Drosophila melanogaster: one gene and its partners. The protein of the gene in region 4 interacts with the protein of the main gene of each other region in a pairwise test. Each region holds a gene or a part of one and is shown on either strand. Other genes may lie near its edges. The genes, in order: Pis, CG1309, Ugalt and Ctr1B.

Evidence for each region.
Region 1: the proteins of Ctr1B (region 4) and Pis interact in a two-hybrid assay, tested with the Drosophila melanogaster proteins (one large-scale study listed by BioGRID).
Region 2: the proteins of Ctr1B (region 4) and CG1309 interact in a two-hybrid assay, tested with the Drosophila melanogaster proteins (one large-scale study listed by BioGRID).
Region 3: the proteins of Ctr1B (region 4) and Ugalt interact in a two-hybrid assay, tested with the Drosophila melanogaster proteins (one large-scale study listed by BioGRID).

The regions. Positions count from the first base shown.
Region 1 is NC_004354.4:15,700,344-15,706,376, reverse strand, and holds Pis (phosphatidylinositol synthase), read left to right. Parts: upstream 1-2,606; 5' UTR 2,607-2,755; coding exon 2,756-2,807; intron 2,808-3,058; coding exon 3,059-3,193; intron 3,194-3,289; coding exon of another isoform or gene 3,290-3,348; exon of another isoform or gene 3,349-3,564; intron 3,565-3,714; coding exon 3,715-3,868; intron 3,869-3,961; coding exon 3,962-4,113; intron 4,114-4,191; coding exon 4,192-4,373; 3' UTR 4,374-4,926; downstream 4,927-6,033. Other genes in the region: Hap40 (Huntingtin-associated protein 40 kDa), read right to left, coding at 926-1,784, 1,971-2,149; CG9240 (uncharacterized protein), read left to right, coding at 5,290-5,388, 5,570-5,971. UniProt on the Drosophila melanogaster protein: Catalyzes the biosynthesis of phosphatidylinositol (PtdIns) as well as PtdIns:inositol exchange reaction. May thus act to reduce an excessive cellular PtdIns content.
Region 2 is NT_037436.4:4,257,076-4,262,724, forward strand, and holds CG1309 (uncharacterized protein), read left to right. Parts: upstream 1-2,354; 5' UTR 2,355-2,467; coding exon 2,468-2,593; intron 2,594-2,668; coding exon 2,669-2,982; intron 2,983-3,033; coding exon 3,034-3,185; intron 3,186-3,292; coding exon 3,293-3,896; intron 3,897-3,962; coding exon 3,963-4,230; exon of another isoform or gene 4,231-4,286; coding exon 4,287-4,397; 3' UTR 4,398-4,568; downstream 4,569-5,649. Other genes in the region: CG15011 (uncharacterized protein), read right to left, coding at 1-181, 237-445, 509-640, 697-813, 871-987, 1,041-1,199, 1,261-1,871, 1,938-2,052; CG11586 (uncharacterized protein), read right to left, coding at 4,648-5,129, 5,189-5,291.
Region 3 is NC_004354.4:2,700,624-2,706,556, reverse strand, and holds Ugalt (UDP-galactose transporter), read left to right. Parts: upstream 1-2,811; 5' UTR 2,812-3,036; coding exon of another isoform or gene 3,037-3,052; 5' UTR 3,053-3,100; coding exon 3,101-3,269; intron 3,270-3,781; coding exon 3,782-4,719; 3' UTR 4,720-5,433; downstream 5,434-5,933. Other genes in the region: CG2680 (uncharacterized protein), read left to right, coding at 1-228; eIF2Bbeta (eukaryotic translation initiation factor 2B subunit beta), read right to left, coding at 491-563, 632-1,017, 1,108-1,564, 1,634-1,720, 1,784-1,839; Lint-O (L(3)mbt interactor in ovarian somatic cells), read right to left, coding at 5,862-5,933.
Region 4 is NT_033777.3:8,315,837-8,320,931, reverse strand, and holds Ctr1B (copper transporter 1B), read right to left. Parts: upstream 3,321-5,095; 5' UTR 3,196-3,320; coding exon 3,136-3,195; exon of another isoform or gene 2,926-3,135; intron 2,495-2,925; coding exon 2,030-2,494; 3' UTR 1,727-2,029; downstream 1-1,726. Other genes in the region: Poxm (Pox meso), read left to right, coding at 20-1,122; Coq2 (coenzyme Q biosynthesis protein 2), read left to right, coding at 4,542-5,095.

The DNA of each region.
Region 1 (6,033 bases), on a different chromosome or scaffold from region 4:
TATATATAAAAAATGAAAAGTGTACTTTATTTTTTTGTAATTTATTTAAGCCTTAACTATATATTTAAAAATTAAAAAATCTAAACTACAACAACAGACGTATGAATGATTAAGCGAATAGTAGTCGCAGCAAATTGTGTGAGAAACGATGTTAAACTGCCCTCCCAAATCGGAACCGTGATTTAGTTGCTCGCGGATTCGAACAAGACAATTAAATATTCTTCGATTCGATTTAAAACACAATGCAAAGTAAATGGAAATTGTAACAGGCTTAGGAAGGATTAATGGGTATTACATGAAACGTACATGCATACATATATGAAAATTTACAAATTACATAAACAAACAGATATTATAGGATATTTAACAAATTGGAATTGTAAACTCCAGCGAAAAACAAAAAAAAAAAAAGTTTTGTAAGCAAACACAAAGAAATCACGAAATTCGATTCGGAATATCAGTTGTGGCACCCGAAGAGTGTCGCATTAATTAGCTAACTTAATTGAGAAATTGCTAAGAAACAAAAAACAGAAGTTGCTTGACAAAGGTAAAATAAACAAATTAAATGACCAAAATATTGCATTACTATTAATAGGGGGCTTCATAGAACATCTGTTGGATTGATTAGAAACAAGTTGGTGGTTTGTTAGTCATCTTTATCTTCGCACTATCATGCGCATTCCTCTTCATTTATTGTACAAATCACAAATCCTATTACATTTCATTGCGCTTCGCACCTTCTGTTTATTGCTGCATTCACCTGGTCATTCGTTTGTTAATTTAATTCAATTTTTATGCGTGTAGGCACGTTCAAAGGTTAGTTGGTAGACTTGGTTACACTTAAGCGATAGTTGCATGTGTCATTCTCATTCAGTGGTAATGATCCAGTAGTAAATAATGTACAGTACGATCTTAGGTCTAAAATCTAGTAGCTTCGGGCCAGTTCTGCATGCATCACCGCCAGCAGCTGCCTTTCCATGTCGCTCAGCGATCCAAATTCGGCTCCAAAGTCGCGCAGCAGGTGCTTTAGATCGCACATTTTACGCTCCACCCAGGCGCACGTAATCTCCGCCAGCGCATACTGCTGCTGTTCGGGCACAAATGCTCCCGGACGCTCCGCGGATCCACCGTCGTCCGCCGAACAGGGGAGCGACTCGAACTGCGCCAGGTTGTAGTAGTACTCGATCAGCTTGATGTGGGCGGGTGACTGGCGTGCGGGAGGCAGGTTCAAATGGACTAGGAGCAGCAGACGCAGCACCTCAACGCGCCGCAATAGTTCACCGTACATGCGAGCACCGCGTCGCTCGTAAACATTGTCCACAATGTCGTCGTAATGCTGCAGTGCACTGCGAAAATCGCCGCGCTGGCCACTCGTTTCGGCGCTGATTTCCAGGTCATGGATCTGATGGGTGGGCGAGGCAAAGCTGCTGGTGCTGTCCAGCTGCCGCTGCAGCTGCTTCAACTCGCGCAGAATGGCCGCCTTGAAGACGCAACCGTCCACCGCTCGATCCGCCGCACGGTGATAGCAGTGCACCGCTCCCTCCCGAAATCCCGAGTGGCGGGTGCGCAGATGCAGTCGCCCGGACTCGTTGTGCGCCGCTAGGAAGGATCTAGCTGCCCGCAGATAGGCCTCCGATTCGCGCTGCGGTGCGCCGCCGTAGGACTCGCACTTGGCATAGCCAATGTGGCACATGGCCGCATACTGCTGTATGCCCGACTCCTCGAAGCTGTAGGCCAGTCGCTGGAAGTCCGCCTGCACATCGACCACGCTGGGCGCAAAGCGTCTGGGAATTAGAGAAACAGTGGAGTATTGAGATTGTATTCCGTGATTCGAGGGCTTCTAATACACCCGTATTTCTAAACATAGTTTGAAGATGGAGGAAAAGCGATAAATTGGGCAATGACTTGCTAATCAAACGCAATGATCTGCAAGGTATCTGATTGCCCATACTTGGGCCGTAGCTACTCACTTGAAGAAGCCGGCCCGCTCGAACTTCTTGATCTTGCTGGAGGCCCTTAGATATTGCTCGATCAGGTTTTTGGGGTACTGATACTGCTCCAGTTGGTGGTGCTCATGGCCCGGAGCCGTCGATGGCGCGCCGCTGGAGGATCCGCCGCCGCCCAGACTGCCGCCGCGGAGTTTATCCATGCTACAGCATGTGGTTCTCCGCGCAGGTTACTTCGGGTCGCGCTACTTGTGCATTATATTTTCGCCTGTATTGTGTTTTTATTATTATTTGTGAAAACTTTATCGCGGGCGGTGTGACCATGCCATGTCCCGCTGAGGAATATACTAGCTTAGAAGCGGTATGCAAAGATCCATTTACACTGCTCAACGGCAGCGAAAATGTATCAAAACGGCACGCAAATCGCTGTCAAAACTCATTTAACAAGCAACTACACTAGTTGCCCGGTTTTGGTAGCTCATGTTAATAATCTAGTGACCTTTAATTTGTATTTGATACATTTAAAATGATATACTAATTACTAAATTTCTATTGGAAGAGAAAAATAGAAACTAGAAACAGATGTGTGTCAGTGGAAACCATCTGAAATCTTGTTGGCCAGTATAGTTCGGTATTTTCTCTCAAGTCTTTGTTTGTTTTTTCCAAAGGTCACGCTGCGGTCACACCAGATACAGCAAATTCTGTTTCCACTGTTTTTTCTGCAGCACTTTTGGCATTTAATTGGATAAAAACAAGCCGCAAAGCTAGAAGATCGCAAAATAAACGAAAAACCAAAGTGGCGAAACAAAATGACAATTGCCGAGCACGATAACGTCTTCATCTTTGTGCCAAATCTGATCGGTGAGTGGCTGTTTGTAGGTTTTATTCCGTGCTCCAGCTAGGTAAACAAATCGCATGTTCGATTTATGCGGCGCAATAATAGCGATTCTAGTGTTCCCTAATTGGATTAATAGGGGCTGTTTGGCAGCTAGTGCAATGCGAAGCGCAAGTTCAGCGATAAGAGCCGCTTCGTCCAACCCAATTGAGTCACCTCCAATGATTCTATACGTATGATGCACGCATATGTGCTGATTTATATTGATCTTTTCCAGGCTACGCCCGCATCGTTCTGGCCCTGATCGCCTTCTGGTTCATGTCCACCAACTATGTGATCTCCGGCTGGTGTTATGTAACCTCCGCCCTCCTGGACGCCGTCGATGGACAAGCAGCCCGAGCCTTTAACCAAAGTAAGCATTAACCATGCGATCGCCCTTGATATCGAAATGCCAGCTCATGCCAGCTATATGTCTGTATTTGATTTGTGCGCGCACTTTGGCCGCTAGCGCATTGCAAACACCTGTCTCCTCCGTACTGGTTATCTGCCGATATTGTGGAATTGTAGGCACGCCCTAAAGAGCCCGATATGGTCACGGCTATCCAGCCAATCGATGGATGACGTGGGGCTGAAGAATAGATAGAAAGCATGGCTAATATTGCCTTGGAACTATGCAATGTAGTTAGCAATATAGGAGGAAAAACATTAGGATAGAAGCCTTCTAAGAAACAAATTGCAGATACCATGCAATGTTTATGATATAGTAGTGTAGCAAACTGAAAGGTATGATCTTGCACTTGGATTTGTTGTATGCTAGCAGGATGATTTAGAGTCTTAACGAAAGGGTACTCCAACCAAAATATGTATATCAAAATATTAGTAATTATCATATGGTACTATGGAATCTTTACTAAATACTCGATTACCTCACAGGCACTCGCTTTGGCGCCATGCTAGACCAGTTGACCGATCGCTGCGGCACCACCGGCCTACTGGTCACCCTGGCCTACTTCTATCCCCGGTACATGTTCTGGTTCCAGCTGTCCATCGCCATCGACGTGGCCTGTCACTGGCTCTTCATGCAGACGTAAGTGGGGCAGGGGAAAGAGCAAGATGCTGGACGTCTGGACTGTCAAGGAATGGAAGGAAACTAATGACTCGTGGCTTTGTCTTTTTGCAGGAGCGTTGTGGTCGGACGCAGCTCGCACAAGGTGAATGACAACTTCATAATGCGATTGTATTACCAGAAGGACATACTCACATTCATGTGCTGCGTCAATGAGCTGTTTTACGTGTGCTTGTACCTCTTGCATTTCACCTACGGCCCGCTGAGTGAGTATACGCACACGCACATGCTTTGCATTTCAGCTGGCGAAACGTATCTAATCCGTTGATGGACTTCAATTGCAGTATTCGGCGCATCGCTCTTCAAGATACTCGCCTTCCTCACGGGTCCCTTTGCCGTGCTCAAGGCCCTGATCTCGGTGATGCACGCCTACGTGGCGGGCATCGATCTGGCGGCCGTGGATGTACGCGAGCGGCAGGAGCGGCGCCAGAAGTCGGAGCCGGTGAGCGGCAAGAAAGTGGAGTGAAAATGGGATGCGATCCGGGATCAATCTTCCAGCGACAGTTCTATCAACAGAAAGTACTAAATGAAACAACTCTTGATTCCAAGCTAAAAAAACAGAATTTTGAAGACGAATTGCGATCAGATGAAATATGGGCATTAGGCAACCAAATAGGCCGTAGTAGGAATTTAATTTATTTTTAATGCGCTATTGCAATGATTGTTGATTTTATTTGATATATTTTAGTTAGACGGGTGGTGAAATCACCCGACAATTTGTATTTAATAGATTTTTGAATTGAAATTTAAGCGATTCGTTCCAGTCAGTAGCTGTTGCATATTTATTTTGCCTTTAGTTAGCGTAGTTTACACGCTATATATGTATATATATGCCAATGCGTAAATGCAGGCCGATATACTATGAATGAGTGTCTATTTCCAGGATTTATCTCACTGTGCACGTTTTGGGTTTGACTAACCACCTTGTCCCAGCAACTCTCTCAATGTAACTAATGTATTTCTAATCGTAAGTTAAAGAATGTAATTGGAGACCTGCATGAAATATATACGACAAATGGATGTTAGATGTATTTGAAACATTAACATATATGTACCATACATGCCAGGCCTGGCAGACTTAGTCAAAATTGAAAAGTGAAAATAAATATATGTGGTTCTATGCGCTAAATTTTAGTTTAACCTTTTGGGCCATCGATTTTTGAAATTTGCGCCACACAAAATTTATCGTTAGACATCAAAATTATCGTTGGCACATCCCTGGCTGGCCGCTCAGCTGCGCCGCCTGTGCAGCCCTGATTTTTACACAACATAAACATTCGATTTTGGAGGAGCTCTTTTTTCGAGAGAATACCAGGTCGTTGGACACGGGAGATGCTCTGATTAGGGGCGCATGTGGAGCAGCCAACGCCGGAATCGCCGACATGAAAATCCTCTCCCGTCTGGGTCGCCTGATGCGCTACACGGTGGCCTACGCGGCAATCACACACTGCACCTTCGAGTACATTGGCGATTTCGTCCTGGTAAGGCGTCTAGGATGAAGTTCCTGGGCGGGTATACTTGCCCAACATGTGCCAGCATCACATAGTTCGTGTGAATGCATTAAGGTACTCTCCACTTGTTTTTCCACCTTGTGTAACTTCCACTTGATATCCTTCTTTTGCGGAAAAGTACGTACACTCACATTAATGCAACCATTTCCAGTGCAAAGGACCCTCCATGGAGCCCACCCTGCACTCGGACAACGTTCTTCTCACCGAGCGCTTGTCGAAACACTGGCGAACCTACCAGCCCGGCGACATAGTCATCGCCATATCGCCCATCAAAGCCGATCAGTTCATTTGCAAGCGTATCGTGGCCGTTTCCGGTGATCAGGTGCTAATCCAGAAGCCCATTCCCATTGAGGCGGAGTTTAGTGGTAATTCGGATGACAAGAAGAAGCCCGTGATGGTCAAGGACTATGTGCCGCGCGGACACGTTTGGATTGAGGGTGACAACAAGGGAAACAGCTCGGATTCCCGCTACTACGGACCCATTCCGGTGGGCCTCATCCGGAGCCGCGTGCTCTGCCGCATCTGGCCGATATCCGAGGCCACGGGTCTATAGATGGCATTCGTACAACAAAGAGTTTAAAATCAACTTGACCCAATAAATGGCCTATGTTTCGT
Region 2 (5,649 bases), on a different chromosome or scaffold from region 4:
CTTTTTGGCCTGTGGCCTAGCCTCTTTGGGTTTATTAACTCTAACTGCCTCGTGGCATCGTGCCTTACAGATGTGCCCACACTTGCTGGTGTCATTGGGTAGACCGCACACTTGGCCACATGGAGGACAGTCACCCTTGTGACAACGATGCTTAATGGCATGGTGACATTTGGGAGTTATGCTGCAAGAAGTGAGATTAAAAGTCGGTCATTATATATTGCGAAAGAAATACGAACCGACAGAGTTCCAAGCAGACAATGCGTGCACTTCTTTCCCTGCCACAAGGAACACTTTTTTTGGTCTTTCCACAGCGGCAGTTAATCTGGGATTCCAGTTTACACGGATAGCAAGGTCCGTTGTGGCACACGGACTGACATTTGTGCTTGTTGCAGCTCAGCTGCTTGCCACAAATCTTTTCGCACGGTGGACACTGGTCCCCACAGCACTTTAAAAAAGGTTATTGGTTAATTCGGCTGTATACATTTAAAATGCTTGCGTGCTCTTATACCTTTCTATTGCATGCATGCTTGCCGCAATCACGCATTTGCTTGCATTTAGTCTCGCATGCAAACTCTTTGGAGCAGGGCAACTCCTTTTCGTGCAGACCACAACGACACTTCTTTTTGGTTCTTATTGGGCACTGTAAGAAACATATTTCATTAGAGAATCGATTTGCTTCCCTGGTGGCTATCTTACGGAAATGCAAGGTCCACGATGACAACGCTGGGTGCAAGTGTGCTGGCCACAGGACAAAAGTTTTTGGCACGTATCGCCACAGGTTTCCTCTGTCTCATTACAGGGTCTTACCTGGGTCTACAGAATTAGGTAATCATAAATGAATATAAACTTGTAAATAAATATATCACATACATTCTTGCCGCATGGGCAACTCCTGACTTGCAAAGGACACTCTCCATCTCCGCAGGGTCCAGCGTGACACACCTTCTCGCAAATGTGCAAACCACAAGCAAATGGAGCTCCACAAACCTGAAAGAATATTAATGTTGTTTTATGCTTCAGCTTCAAAAGGCTTTTCTTACATTCTGACACTTCCATTTCCGATCGGAGCAGTTGACCATCTTCGACTCCCGCTGGCACTCGCAAGGTTGTAAGCTTTTGCTGGTGCATGGAGGACACTTTCCTGGCTGATGACACACCTGATTACATTTGTGCTTGCCGCAGGCTAGAAGTTCCTTGCACTGGAAAATCATTTTTTTAGTATGGTGGTCAGACAAAATTTCTTAAAACGTTAAGACTTACAGTCTGCTGACACGTCCACTGCTTGTCAATGCACCTCACGGACCTAGGACTAGATTTACCACACAGGCACGAGACCTGCGCCTGCTGCGCACAAGGAGGACATGGCCCCGGATGACATAGCAGCTTGCAATCGTGCCCACACTTCGGTTGCAAAAGCTTTCCGCAGTGCTCTCCGCATGAGTGGGGCACAAGGAAGGGCTGGTTCTCGGGGTTCACCTCCTTGCCGCAGAAGCAGTTGTACTGCGTGGGCTTATCGGCCGGTTGGTAGTCCCTGCGGCACTTGGGGCAGCACCAGTGAAGGGATTTCTGTCGCTTGGGCGGCACAAATTCGCCCAGATGATTGTAGTGGCCCTGGCCGTTCTGCTGCTCTGCCGCCTTTACCTTCATCTGCATCATGCTGTCGTTGGCCCACCGTTGGATGCACTTCAAGTGAAAGAAGCAGTAACAGCTCTCGCAAGACCAAATGGCCTCCACCCGCCGAATGCTTCCGATGCAAATGAGACAGGTTGCCGCTCCCGAGTGTAGAGTGTTTTCCAGAAACGTACTGGTGCGTGCCGCTTCCTTTGAGCTTCCTGCGTTGTCCGACGGTTTGTAGTTCTTGTATAGGAGTTCTGAAAAGATAAAGCACAAAATTTGATGGTTTTCAAATGACACGTCACAAGCATCGGTCGATTTACCCAAAATGTGATTCTCATCCAGTTCGCCTTCATCCTCGGAGCTGGAGGCGTAGGTGTCCACCAGTTTTTGGGCGGCAGCCAAATTTTTAGCTTGCGCTTTATTAAACTTTTCCATTTTTAAGCCGGCGTTTTTGTCTATCAACTGGGAATAAATTCCTGGGGTAGAACCAGGGATGGCTCGTTCTCTGATAACAGCAATTAGGGGATCTAGTTCCGAAAGGTACACATTTGTGTGAGCTTTCAGTTTCCAATTGGGAATTTCATTTAATTCAAAAAAAATACATACATACACATTAATACCTAAATTATCAAACATCCTCTCTGCATATTTTATTGCATTTAATAATTTGGACCAACATTTTGAAGTTTACAATTAATAGGTCAGGTATCTAATGTGGCAGCCCTGGTATTCGATGTTAAACATCTGTTCGTGAGTGCGACACCCTGGAACAGCTTTCACATCATTTGCAACAAAATAAAATAGAGAAAATTAAATATATCCAGACATACCGACTACGATCCGATCCAAGATGAGTTTCCTAAATTACGTGTTTGGCCCCAACCTCTACATGGAATACCGCGGTGTGCCGGAGCCGCAGCGCAAGATGTACGAGGCAGGTGCCGTGGAAAAGTTCGGGGAGCAGATTCTATCGACGGTAAGTGCCCTGCGATCCCATGGGGCAGAATCTGGAGCATATGGTAATGTGGAAAATCGACACTCTCCGTTGCAGCTATCGGTTATGTGGTCCGTGGGCTATTATACTTCTCCGCTGCTCGTCACATTCCTATACCGACGCGGCTACCTGGTGACCGATTCCATACCGACGCTGGCCAAGATCACCACCAGCGTGGGCCTCATCGTCATCCTATCGCTGGTGATGCGCGGCCTGGGGCGCAAGCAATCGCGCTCCTACTCCAACATGATTAAGGCCCTCGTCCGAGCAAAGTCCTCCAAGGCACCAGGAGATGCCAACAGCGAGCTGCGTCGCTTCGACATCGAGTTCAACGCTTGGCCGGTGGACTTTGATGTGAAAGCTCTAACCGGGTGAGTGGGCTACGCCTTTGAAGTGTGCCAGAATAACATCTTCGTTTTCAGTGATACCAAAAAGCCGGTGGTTACGGCTAGAAGGCGGGAGCCCATCCAGCTGGCGACACTGCCCTGTGAGGCCATCGCCTACCTGGCCATAAACACCTTTGGGCTCTCCATGATCTATCCGGGTTCGGTCAAACTACTCCAGAAACTTATGAGTAAGAAAGATATACATATGTGAAGCTGTCTGAAATGTTGTTAAATTGCAATCCGATAAGCCCATAAGATAGACTTCTACATATACTGAACCTAAAATATTTTGCAGGACCCATGCTGATCTCCGGACGCGCCAAGCTCATCGAGGATGACAACGGCATCCGCTACAAGGTTAAGACCATTGACTCGAACGAAATCGATACGTTGTTCATTGACAATCGCCCAAACAACGTGGGAAATGGCAAGACTCTAGTCATTTGCTCCGAGGGCAATGCCGGTTTTTATGAAGTGGGCATTATGGCCACCCCAGTGGCCTTAAAGTATTCCGTTTTGGGCTGGAATCATCCCGGATTTGCCGGCAGCACAGGCACTCCTCATCCCCACCAGGACAAGAACGCCATCGATGCCGTGGTGCAGTTTGCCATCAACAATCTTAGGTTCCCCGTAGAGGATATAATTTTGTATGGCTGGAGCATTGGTGGCTTTAGTACACTATACGCTGCCTCTGTGTATCCGGATGTCAAGGGAGTGGTACTAGACGCCACCTTCGACGATGTGCTCTACTTGGCCGTTCCTCGCATGCCAGCTGCACTGGCGGGCATTGTCAAGGTAGCCATTCGAAACTACTGTAATTTGAACAATGCCGAACTGGCCAACGAGTTCAATGGACCCATATCCTTTATTCGCCGCACTGAGGATGAGATCATTGCAGAGTGAGTGATAACTTTTGCATTTGGGCAGAGGTCTTTCCTAAAACGTAACCCATTGATTTCCATTAGGGACAACCACATTGACACAAACCGCGGAAATTTCTTGGTCTTGTCAGTGCTCAAGCACCGGTATCCCAACATTTTTGGGGCTTCCCAGTTGAATAAGGCCAAGGGGCTGCTGTCTAAGCCCCTGGAACCATACAGTATCCCCGTCGCCGACGAGAAGCTGTGCATGTCGCGCCTGATCACCTACGCCTCTGACGAGGGCAAGTCATTCCCCATGAACATTGGAGCAGATTACTCGGAGGAGGTGCGCAATCTGATGGCTGTGTTCTTGGTGGGTTTATTCGGCAGTTTAAATGGTCTATATATCTAATACTGTTCACCTTTCAGCTGCGCAAGCATTTACGTGACTATAACTCGACGCACTGCACCCAGCTGCCCGGGGAGTTCTTTACCATGCCGTGGGACATACCCACTGAGCAGGGATTTGTGTTCACCTAAGCTCATTCCGCAGGTGATCCACGGCCGTATGCTTAGATTTAGTAAAATGGTTTTTAGTAATTTTTGCCTTCTGACTGCTTATTAAATTATTCTAACTGGGAACAGCCGGGTAGCTGGTGTCTTCTGAACTGGTGTGAAATTATATACAAAATAAATGTCACAAGCTAAACTAGACGCGTCGTCTTGTGGTTAGTTTCTATTTCATGGTACAGCTAAAATTGGAGGGGAGGGGCAGTTCAACACTTAGTTCCTACGAGTTCTTCTTTGATCCACCGAAGCCGGAGAAGCCCATGATGGCGGCCATGTCGTCGGGCATGCCGCCGGACTCGAAGTCCGTGTCCTCGGCCTTGCGCTTCCGCTCTTTTCGCTTCTCCTTGCGGTGTTCCTTGTAGCGATCCTCCTCCTCCTTGGCCTCCCGCAGGCGGCGCTCGAGCTCGTAGTCTTTCTGCTTCTCCTCCATCTTCTTCTTGTTCTGCTGGAAGCGCTCCTTTACCTGGTCGACGGTGCTCCGCTCCACCTTCATGGACATGCCCAGATTGCGCTGGTGCTTCTTGCCATTGATGTGGTCCAGAAAGTTGATGGAATCCTTGACCACGCAGTCGCAAACGTTGCAGTAATAGCCACCGGATTGCGAGGTGGGTGTGTTCTTGTTGATGACAACGCTCTTGCCCAGCTTGCTGTCCAGGTCCACCTTATAGTCGCGTCGCTTGAGGTTCTCCCGCTGTACGGGTTCTGGTGAAAAACAAAAAGACTTTTATTATGTGTGCCTTCCAGGGAATTTAGACACTGACCTTCTTCCTTGGGTGCCACCTGGTTGAGCAGCCGCTCCGCCGCCAGCTTCTCGTACTCGTTCTTGTCCCATTTCCTTCGGTGGTCATCAGGTCGCATCGTCATGGTGGCGCTGGGATGACAATTGCACTAAAATCTATTCGGTAAAAGTAAGGCAATGAAAATTTGTAAATATTTTTGTTAGCGATGCGGCGGTTTGCGTCTGAGCTAAGATTTTGGACAGGGATGACAACTTGATATTTTTTTTTAAATGTTATCGATGGAACCAGAAGGCGGATGTGAAAATGTAAAAGCAGTTGTTAATTTTAATTTAAAAAAATTGTATTTAAAGTTTAAATTAAAGCTTATTTAATAGCATATAAGTCCGAATCTGTATACACAAAAAAATGGACCTAATTTTGGACATCGACGATAACCACAGGTAGGTAAAATAATCGATGTGCGATAAATATTGATTTTTCGT
Region 3 (5,933 bases), on a different chromosome or scaffold from region 4:
TTTGGCGAAATGTTCGAGATTCGTGATTGCAAGCGCTGCATCTTCATCGGGGACACACTGGTGCAGGATGTGCAGTTCGGCAAGGCCTGCGGCTTCCAGTCCCTGCTGGTACTTAGCGGCTGCCTAACAAAGGAGGACATGCTGAACGCCCCGGTGGAAGCGCAGCCGGATTACTATGCCGATAGCCTGGCCGACTTCACGCAGCTGCTTGAAAATATTCAAAAATAGGTTGAGGATCGTGTGCCGCAGGGAAATTACGAGAAACGTGCTACCTGAAATTAACTATATCAACCCAAGATAAAGTAGTAATGTTCTTAAATCGAAAACCGATCCACCGTTATTGCTTATTCGATATAATTATTGTTGAATTTTAAAGTTTATAAATGTCTACGAAATTGATGCATTTAAATCAATCCAAATCGAAATGGGCTTGCTACTTTACTGTAGACTTTATTGGTAGAATTGCTAAAACAACGAGACAAACACGATTTCAAATCTCCAAATCTTCGGGATGATACAGTTCCGTAAGGAGGCGGTACACATACGAGGGGGCATGGCCACCGCTAAGTAAAAAAAGAATCCAATAAATGCAATAAAAAAGAGTCGAAAGGCCGATAAGCGCACTACTTACGTGTTGGATATGAAAAGGGTGACCAGTTCCGGAGGCACGTAGTCGAACATGGGACTGTATACCTTGGCTTCGCGCGCTGGAATCGAATCGTAGGGTATCACATCCTCCGCACAGCCGACCATATTGAAGGCGTCCTGCTCGCACAGATGCAATGGTGAGAGTTTGTACATGGGCGCCAGTACAATGACCGGCACGGAGTAATGCTTGGCGGCCAGGGCCACTGTATACGCTCCACACGCCGCTCTGAGTCCTCCATTAGCCAGCACGCTGTGCGTACCGATTATTACCTTGTTGACGCGCGACATCATAGCGAAGATGGCCGCATCTGGGATCACAACAATCTCCACATTCTTCTCGTTGGCCAAGCTGGCGGCCAAATTGTGACCCTGTAAAAGACATAGGCAGTTGTTAAGCAACATAAGAGCATTTTCTTACACCCCACAAATACTGTCGTCCCATAAAGAGACCCAACTAACCCGGCAGGCTGGCGCACATTCGGCTACGATGATGGTGAGAAACTGACGCTTTTTGATCGCCCTTTTGAGGAAATTCTCGACGCTGCGCGAGTGTCCCAGTGTCAAGATGATCTCCGACGAATGGATGTGCTCCTCGGCCTGGACGCAGATGTTCTCCGAACTGGTCTCCAGCTCCGTTTCCACCTCCTGCAGGTGGTCGAGCAGCGCTTCCCGCAATCCATGCTGGGGCACCGAGTAATCTACGCTGACGTTGCTCTCGCTGGTCTGCGTGACTAGCTTGTGAAGCGACAGCGAGGCCTGTGAGTCGTCCGCGAAGTGTTGCACCTTGGCGTGCAACAGATCGAACTCCTCGCGAGTCAGCTTGAGGATCCGCCTGGCAATGTTCGAGGTAACCGTCTCCTGGGGCAGAGCTGCCTGCAGGATCTTACACTGGTCGCGCACAATCTGCATGAGAGCACTGTCAAATGAGGGGGAGTTGTTTATCAGTTAATGTGTTATCCTTGGTGTGCCATCCCTTGCAACTCACTCGGCGTTCTGCCAGCTCTTGCTCATGATGATGTACTTGAAGATGTCCAGCGTCTTGTTGGTTATGTTGTAGGATCCCTCCACCAGCCTGCAAAACATATGCCACTTTAACAACCAAATGAATCGCAGTGCCTGCCAACCGACGACTTACCCCACTTTGATGGCGTGGATGAGCTGTGTGATCTCCTTTAGCGGCTGTTCCTTCATCGTGTCCTGGCGTCTCTGGTCTTTGCAATTATGAATTATCAACTAAAGTGGCCAACTGTTACCATTATTCAGTTAGAAAACTATTTACGAAATCGCCACACCGAGCAATGTTATCGATAGGCGGCAGGCGAAAGCGAATTCTAGTGATGAACTCAAAAAAGTAAAAGATTTAAAATCAACACGGAAATTATTAATGTTTTCATTTATTGCATTTGATTAAATTAATTTATTTAATCCCCCCAAATGGCAATATATTTGTAATGTTGTATTGTAAATTTGATGCATCGCAATTATCAGGTGCCGCCAACAGGTTGTTCATCATTCACTGGCTTAATTTGATGTTTTATGTTTATTTTAATTGTCTGCATATACTGGCTTTCATGACGTATTTTCAACGGCAGCTGAGTAAATAGCCAACCTAGTGCGGCAAAAATAAATTTCGCTGGGCTTAAAAATTTAACATACATGTGCATGTAGAACAAGCATGCACAATATGTATTTATGTATTTCGTCCATGAGTTTTCTTGTTTTCTACTTTCGATCCCCATGCTCTCTTGTTAAATTTTAATTTTAATTTTAAAGTCATAATATATACATTAATTTAAGCAATCTCAATGCCCGATTATTGTATATCTAGCTTTTTTTGCAAGCAACTTCTTTTTTCGCGAGTTCCGCCACAATGCCAGCACTGTGACTATCGAAAAGTCGGTCTCTGCTGCGAAAATAGCAACAAAAGCTGCACGCCATGGGCGTAGCTTGCTTTAAAATGGGGATCCATCCCCCAGGAGCATATGTAAGGTGTATTTACTTTACTGAAATGCACAATGCACTTTTAAATTTTGTTTGCATTCAATTAAGAAGGTTTCGCATTTATGACCCCCGTTGCAAGCCCAGGACCACGTCCCTGGCGCGCAGCAACAACAACCACATAGGCGGCGATAAAAAGCCGCCGCTGGCAGAAGCTTCGGGCTCTGATTGTTGTTTACGTGTCGCCCGGTCCAGTGGAGTCGTCTTCATTTGCGCTCTTCTGCTTTTCTGGCCAACTTGAAGGGAACGAACTGCCAAACGGAACGGCCCGCCGACAACTGATCTTGGCCAGGAACGGAGTCTTTGTGTACCCCCAACTACGGCGTTTTGTTTGCCTTCGGTTTCTATTTGGTTTTGGAGTTGAGACAATAGAGCTAGAAGCGTAGCACCATGAATAGCATACACAGTGAGTATTTGGCCTTTAGTGCGGTGGCGTTACTCCAGCGGTACTGACATGGCGCTCCTGCCCGCCCCCGTCACGTATTCCTATTCCCATCGCACAGTGAACGCCAATACGCTGAAGTACATCAGCCTGCTGACGCTGACCCTGCAGAATGCCATCCTGGGCCTCAGCATGCGCTACGCCCGCACCCGGCCAGGCGACATCTTCCTCAGCTCCACGGGTGAGTGCTTATCCAAAAGTCCAACAGGTCGTCGGGCTCAGCAGGTCAAGCCGGTTCACCGCTTAGCAGATTCACCTCGTTGCCCAGAGCCACTTCCACGAAACCTCGACGTGGGTCTGTCCACGCAAGCAGCAACATCAGCAGTAAAAGCAAACGAGTCGAAGAGGTGGAGGTGAAGGTGGTGTAGGAGCAGTGGCAGGCGGGGAATGGTCGTTCGGGTAGATGTGAAGCTGCCAAAGAAACTGATAAGCAGCCACTTCCGCATTTAGCTCCTAATAGCTTGATAAAACTGTTGGGGAACTTCTACCGCGATAGCTCAAGGAGGTTTGGTTGGCATTCTTGAATTACATATGGGTTTACATTTTGCCATTAAACTTTGGTTATTGCTTTGGTGACTCTGTGTGTAAGTTAACCGGACTTATTTGAAAACCCGAACAGCGATACTTGGACTTATTAGTATATATGTACATATATTTGATTGATTGATTGCCATTTTGCGCCCTCTTTCGCAGCCGTACTCATGGCAGAGTTCGCCAAACTGATCACGTGCCTGTTCCTGGTCTTCAACGAGGAGGGCAAGGATGCCCAGAAGTTTGTACGCTCGCTGCACAAGACCATCATTGCGAATCCCATGGACACGCTGAAGGTGTGCGTCCCCTCGCTGGTCTATATCGTTCAAAACAATCTGCTGTACGTCTCTGCCTCCCATTTGGATGCGGCCACCTACCAGGTGACGTACCAGCTGAAGATTCTCACCACGGCCATGTTCGCGGTTGTCATTCTGCGCCGCAAGCTGCTGAACACGCAGTGGGGTGCGCTGCTGCTCCTGGTGATGGGCATCGTCCTGGTGCAGTTGGCCCAAACGGAGGGTCCGACGAGTGGCTCAGCCGGTGGTGCCGCAGCTGCAGCCACGGCCGCCTCCTCTGGCGGTGCTCCCGAGCAGAACAGGATGCTCGGACTGTGGGCCGCACTGGGCGCCTGCTTCCTCTCCGGATTCGCGGGCATCTACTTTGAGAAGATCCTCAAGGGTGCCGAGATCTCCGTGTGGATGCGGAATGTGCAGTTGAGTCTGCTCAGCATTCCCTTCGGCCTGCTCACCTGTTTCGTTAACGACGGCAGTAGGATCTTCGACCAGGGATTCTTCAAGGGCTACGATCTGTTTGTCTGGTACCTGGTCCTGCTGCAGGCCGGCGGTGGATTGATCGTTGCCGTGGTGGTCAAGTACGCGGATAACATTCTCAAGGGCTTCGCCACCTCGCTGGCCATCATCATCTCGTGCGTGGCCTCCATATACATCTTCGACTTCAATCTCACGCTGCAGTTCAGCTTCGGAGCTGGCCTGGTCATCGCCTCCATATTTCTCTACGGCTACGATCCGGCCAGGTCGGCGCCGAAGCCAACTATGCATGGTCCTGGCGGCGATGAGGAGAAGCTGCTGCCGCGCGTCTAGCTCTGGAGGAATCCGGATCTGCCAACAGTATTTGTCCGTAACCCGGAGGCCGCCGTTCGGTAATTGCTCTGGTGTATCCGGTGCATCCGGTGTCCTTGATATTCCCCACGTTTTGTGTGTATATATATTAGGATGGATATTAACGTCTGGACAATTCGTAGCACTTTCTGTTGAGACGATAATTGTAATGTAAAGCAGCGATAAGAATACTTAATGATTTATGTAATTTAAATGTATTTAGGGTATTCACTAGCGAAACTAAAGTGTAGTTAATGAAATGATGCAGCTTGAATGCACGTTTTATTGATCATTTTAATTGTTACTTTGCGAATGCTGAGGAATGCCAGCAGTATTTACTGGACAACACCACACATACCGTGCCTATCCTTTTGTAAATATCCACTTGCACTCAAGTTTAGACTAAGATTTGTAACGATTTATAGTTTTCAAGTTACACTTGATGTTCGGCCAATTCACAGCCACAACTACTTTTGTTCGAATTTTTTTTTTAGAAGATCATATATATGTATATATATTTACTTGAATGTGCATTATTTATTCATTGCCAATTACTTTATTTTTGAGAAATCCTAGGTTGAGCCAGCCCAGACTTATATATTTGTATTTGAACTAAAGTCGCATTACTCGCACAGTGTTTTAAGAGTGATTCCATATCGATATGTTTCATTTCCTTTGAATAAATATTAGACGAATAAAAGGCGTATTTTACTCCATCAAAAAGTAATAACAACTTTCAACCCACGATAAGTAAAAGCACAACAAAGGTTTTGGGGTCAGTTTTTTGCTTTATTGGCCAAGGAAGGTTTCCTCTTAACTGAAGAACTTTAGTTCATCTATAAAAGAGTAAACCTTTGCCTCTACCCTTAAAAAAAAAAAACACCTTAATAAAAATCATAACGTGTTGCAAATTCAGCAGATACCATTCAAAAGTATGTGCATTTGCGAGTGTGGGATTACGGAACATTTTTAAAACTAAAGCAAAATCTTAGCCATCCGCCAGAAGACTTAATATAAGCTTTATTGGCTGCGAAGTGATGCGGTTGCGATGGCTACAGAAGAGAGTATTGATTTAAATTAAGTGTGGTACATGACATTAGGTGCTAAGGAGGTGGGTGGGGACGCTAATCTAGCCAGGCGAGGCCAACGTCATTGGATTGAGTCTGCAGGGACATCACGAGTTCGAAGACGCGCAG
Region 4 (5,095 bases):
CGCAATCTTCTCTTTGCAGAGTCGCAGTGTCCGCAGTATGGCGAGGTGAACCAGCTGGGCGGCGTCTTTGTCAACGGCCGTCCGCTGCCCAATGCGACCAGGATGCGGATCGTGGAGCTGGCCCGCCTGGGCATCCGACCCTGCGACATATCGCGCCAGCTGCGAGTGAGTCACGGCTGCGTGTCCAAGATCCTGGCCAGGTACCACGAAACGGGCTCCATACTACCCGGCGCAATTGGGGGATCCAAGCCGCGCGTGACCACACCCAAGGTGGTCAACTACATCAGGGAACTGAAGCAGCGAGATCCCGGCATCTTTGCGTGGGAAATCCGGGACCGTTTGCTCAGCGAGGGCATATGCGACAAAACGAATGTACCCAGTGTGAGCTCCATATCGAGAATCCTGCGCAACAAGTTGGGCAGCCTGGGGCATCAGCACACGCCGGGAACGGTGATGGGCAGCGGAAGCAGCAGCGGTGGCGGCAGTGTGTCCAGCAATGGTGGACAAAACAATGGCACGAGTGCCAGCAATAATATTAATCTGAGCAATCTGGGTAATCCCGGCGGTGGACCGCACCATCCGCACCACCATCATCATCATCAGTCAGCGGCGGCGGCGGCAAGTGCCCATCATGTGCACGCCCACGCCCATGCCCACGCCCACCTGTACAACTCCATCTACCAGCCGTACAGTGCTGCGGCGGCCTACAGCATGAAGACGCCCTGTGGAAGTCCATCCCCGCCGCAGGGAGCGGGCGGTCAGGGATCAGTGCCCCATCCCCACCAGCTGAGGAGTGTGGCCGCCGCAGCCGCTGCCGCCCACTGGCCCTCCTCCCACTCGGTCAGCGATATCCTGGCCCACCATCAGGCTGTTGCCCTGCGCGCCAGTTGCCAAGTGGGCGTCGGAGTGGGTGGAATGGGCGGCATGGGCAGTACGGTATCCCCGCTGCCGATGACTCCTTCGCCGGTGGCGGGAACGGCCGGTGGTCAGCCACTGCTCGACTGCGAGGGTGGGGCGGGACAGCAGTCGCCGTACAACTACTACATGTACTTCCAGAACGGCGGAATGCATCACCACCATCATCACGGCGGAATGATGGCCGCTGGAGCCACGGGCTTATGATTGGGTGGTCTATAATCAGCGGATTGGTTGCGGGTCTAGCTACTTTCGATCGCGGTTGTTCAGTCTAGGTTACTCTAGTCTAAGAGCTAGTTAGGGAATGGTCTCATCATGGCGCTCACTTGTCACTCAAATTTTAAACAAATGCACTAAAAGAACTTATAATTATCCCGGAAATTTCAAAATAATTTAAACTTTAACTAAGAAGCTTGCAAATACTGGTGTGTGGTTAGGCAAGTACAAATAGATAAAGTGTCGTAAAAAAATGTGTGCGAGATGATTCACATAATCATAAGGTTTGCTTAGTTATATTACCTGCCCAGATGTATCACAGCTAAAATATTTGTTAAAAAGATTTTTCAAGATCTTAACTAAACTAAAATATGTACTATTGTGTGATAGGTGAGTATCGTGATTAGTTAGGCCTTCAAATGTGAGTTGTGGGCTGTCAGGACTCAGACCTGGTAATGTTCGCATTTCATAACGAATTTCATGTAATCCTGGAGATTTAACTTTGCCTTCTTTTTTGTCTCATATCGGATTGTTTGCGTTTTGAGTTCGGGGTGGTCAAAAATAAAGTGTATTGCTTATAAAAACATATTGTAAAGTCAAAAGTATTGAGTAGTACTTTAATCGCTTTAGATGAATACGCGTTGTATAGGTTCTTGTTCTCATGACTACACTATTTGTACAATATGCTCATTAAGTAAACTAGTTGACTAATTTATGCTACGATTACATCAATAACAATTAAACCAAGTGTAACTATCGAATAAAATTGTATTTTTAAACAATTTGTATAATTACGTGGGGACGGGACTTTTTCTTTGATGTGTGAACCAAGAACTGATAAGGGCTTAGTTTATAACAATTGCAAGATATATAAACAATTAAGAGCGATATTCTTGATCTAAGGACAGCACTCGCTCTCGTCGGGATTCTTCTTGTTCCAGCCGAAGAAGAAGTAGCCCAGACCCAGTCCCAGGATCACTGCCAGGCACAGCCAGTAGTTGAAGGTCATGAAGATCAGCATCAGCAGGTACGAGATGACGATCTGCAGCAGGTTCAGCAGGGACTGGACGATGTGCGACGAGGCGAACAAGCGCTGCCAGTAGGTCTGCTCCCTCGGCTCCGCCAGGGGAGCTTCCGAGCAGCATCCTCCGGCTGCCGGAGCCTCGTTCTTCCTACGCTGCTCCGCCGCCAGCTGCTCGCTTGCTCGACGGGCTTCCCTGCGCGCCAGTTGCTGTCGCAGGAACTTGAGCGCCTCATACAGGAAGGACACCAGGAAGATGGCCAGGGCGGAGAGCACGAACTCCGTCACAGTGGACGCCACCCATCCGCGCCACAAAATTCGCTCGCAGTGTCCAGCGTGGAACTGAAAGGATGCGAGAGTGAAAGATTAACTACATAAGAATCCATAAGATCAGTAAGATGAGGCTTAAATACCAGTTAACTACCACTAATTACCACTTAATAACTTTCTAATTCGTATCTATATCTAGATTCCTAGATATCTAATATCTAGGTATATCTATATGGTCACTTTTGCTAAGATGATCCTTAATACAAAAGTTTAATATTACTTTTAGTTTTATAAAATATCAAGCTTAAGCTTTCCAATTAAACATCAACATAAACATAACATTCGAATTAAACATCTTTTTTATAATTCCCTTACAGCGGTATAATTTAACCCATGAATCTTTATTCATGAGACACCCTGTTCGAGCATATTCAATTTGTATTATTTGTATTTGCTGAGAGCGAATAAAGCGCTAGAGAGCGAATAATTCGTTGTGGTTTCTGGCACATAAACATACTTATACGAACTTATACTAGGGAGTGACTAGCCAGAGAATTCAAATTCCAAGTCGGACGAGATATTTGTTTGCTCTCCGTGCAAATCTCATTCAGCTAAACTGGATGAGTGACTTTTAAATTACAGCGTTTAGCGCAGTGGTAAGTGATTTTGTATCAAAATTGTTGGACACAGGAGTTGTGTAACTGCGTACTCACCACCATGATCATAGGGCAGGACTTGGCCGTGCTGGTGCTGTCATCCGAGCCGTGATCCATCTTGGGCTGCTGGTGTAGTATAGATATAGATAGAAGGCGTGGAAAATCCGACTGGCGATCGGGGAGGCACAGTGATAAGAGCTAGACCTGCTGAGGTGCTGAGAGCAGAGCGTTGACTGCTTGAAACCCGCTGCTCGCGAGTGGTTTTTTAAAGAAAATCGCACCTAATCCCCCGACGCGGCGATAGGAAAGTGCGCTTATCTATGGGCAATGGGAAAGAGCGTTATCACCCAGTAGCGGCGATACCAACGATAGTCGCCCCACACTAAGAAAGGCAGCCCAGATACAGTCATGTAAATAAACATAAATGCATGCAGATCTCAGTGTTAGAGGTCAGATCAAAAGATATATTCTGGGTATCAGTTGCAGATCTTTATCTCGAGAGATAAAATCCATAATTGATGCGTCGTGGGTTTCTCTGCGGTTTGCAGCTTAATTTATGGACTCATGGCAAAGGTTCGACAATCGATTCGTGTGCAGAATTTATTGCAATTCAGATTATCAATCATGGGCTAATACAACCCCCTGAAATTGTTGCTGTAATACATGATGTTGAAATAATTCCATTATTTCTTCGCTTCGATCACGGTTTTATGGCTCTAGTCGAGTACATTCATACGTAGGTATATGCCCATATTCCGGCATGGGAGCGATAGCAACCGTCGGCCGCCGGATCGCCGGAGGTCTGCCTTAGTCCACTTGGCTTTCCTAGAGTGTTATTTCTTACTGTGCTATTTCTAACTGGGATAGAATGCCGCCAAAATTGATGGCCGTGCGCAAACCTTCTGCGGCCGTGTGCATAAATTCTACGGACATTCCTGCGCCGTGTGCCAATTTCGAAAAATGGGCGACGTGCGCAAAACATTAACGATATTGCAGAGGGGTAAATGGTTGGGTCTACGCAAAAAAGAGAGCAAAAGCTTTTGCTAAACTGCTTAGGTGGAGATAACTGTAAAGAAGCTTTAGTTATTAGTATTGGTAAAACGAAGAACTACATTCCGCATATGTTCTTCTGTGTTTAGATATATAAATATGACTTTGGTGAAACACAACTCAAAAGTTAACAATTAACACAAGTTGTTTACAACTTTAATATATTTGTCTTTGAAACTTAAATTCAAATTTTTATCGCCAAATGCAGCAGTGCCACCGGATCATATTGTTTTTTCATCTATCCGGCAACTCTTTGTCTGCCTTTACCCGGATGGCAGCCCTTTGACATTCCCAACCAAAGTTCCATTAAACATCTTGCCATTTTTTGACTGTGAGTTTACGAACAAATACAACTTAACATCGTGTGACTTAATGCTTTAATCGTTGAAGGTGCTAGTGCAAGGCAAATCGCAATGTATGCGCTTCGACACCTGCGACTCCAGAGCGCTAGGCACTTCCGCAGCTCTTATGCAGCGGCGGCAACAACAAAACACATGCTGCCCCGGCAACCAGCGCGTGTTCTGATTGGAGATTGGAGCACTTGGGATAAGTCCCGGCTGCAGGATGTATGCTCCAGGAGTTCGAGTACCGCCACTGAGCCCGTGAAGCAGCAAACGCCGCTGCAGGAACTCGTGTCGGCCGCCAAACCCTATGCCCAACTAATGCGAATCGACCGGCCTATTGGCACCTACCTCCTTTTCTGGCCTTGCGCCTGGAGCATAGCGCTCAGCGCGGATGCGGGCTGCTGGCCGGACCTCACCATGCTGGGTCTGTTCGGCACCGGGGCACTGATAATGCGCGGCGCCGGGTGCACCATCAACGATCTCTGGGACAAGGACATCGATGCCAAAGTGGAGCGCACGAGGTTGCGGCCCTTGGCCTCGGGTCAGATCAGTCAGTTCGATGCCATAGTATTCCTCTCGGCGCAGCTCAGTCTGGGTCTTTTGGTGCTGGTCCAGCTCAACTG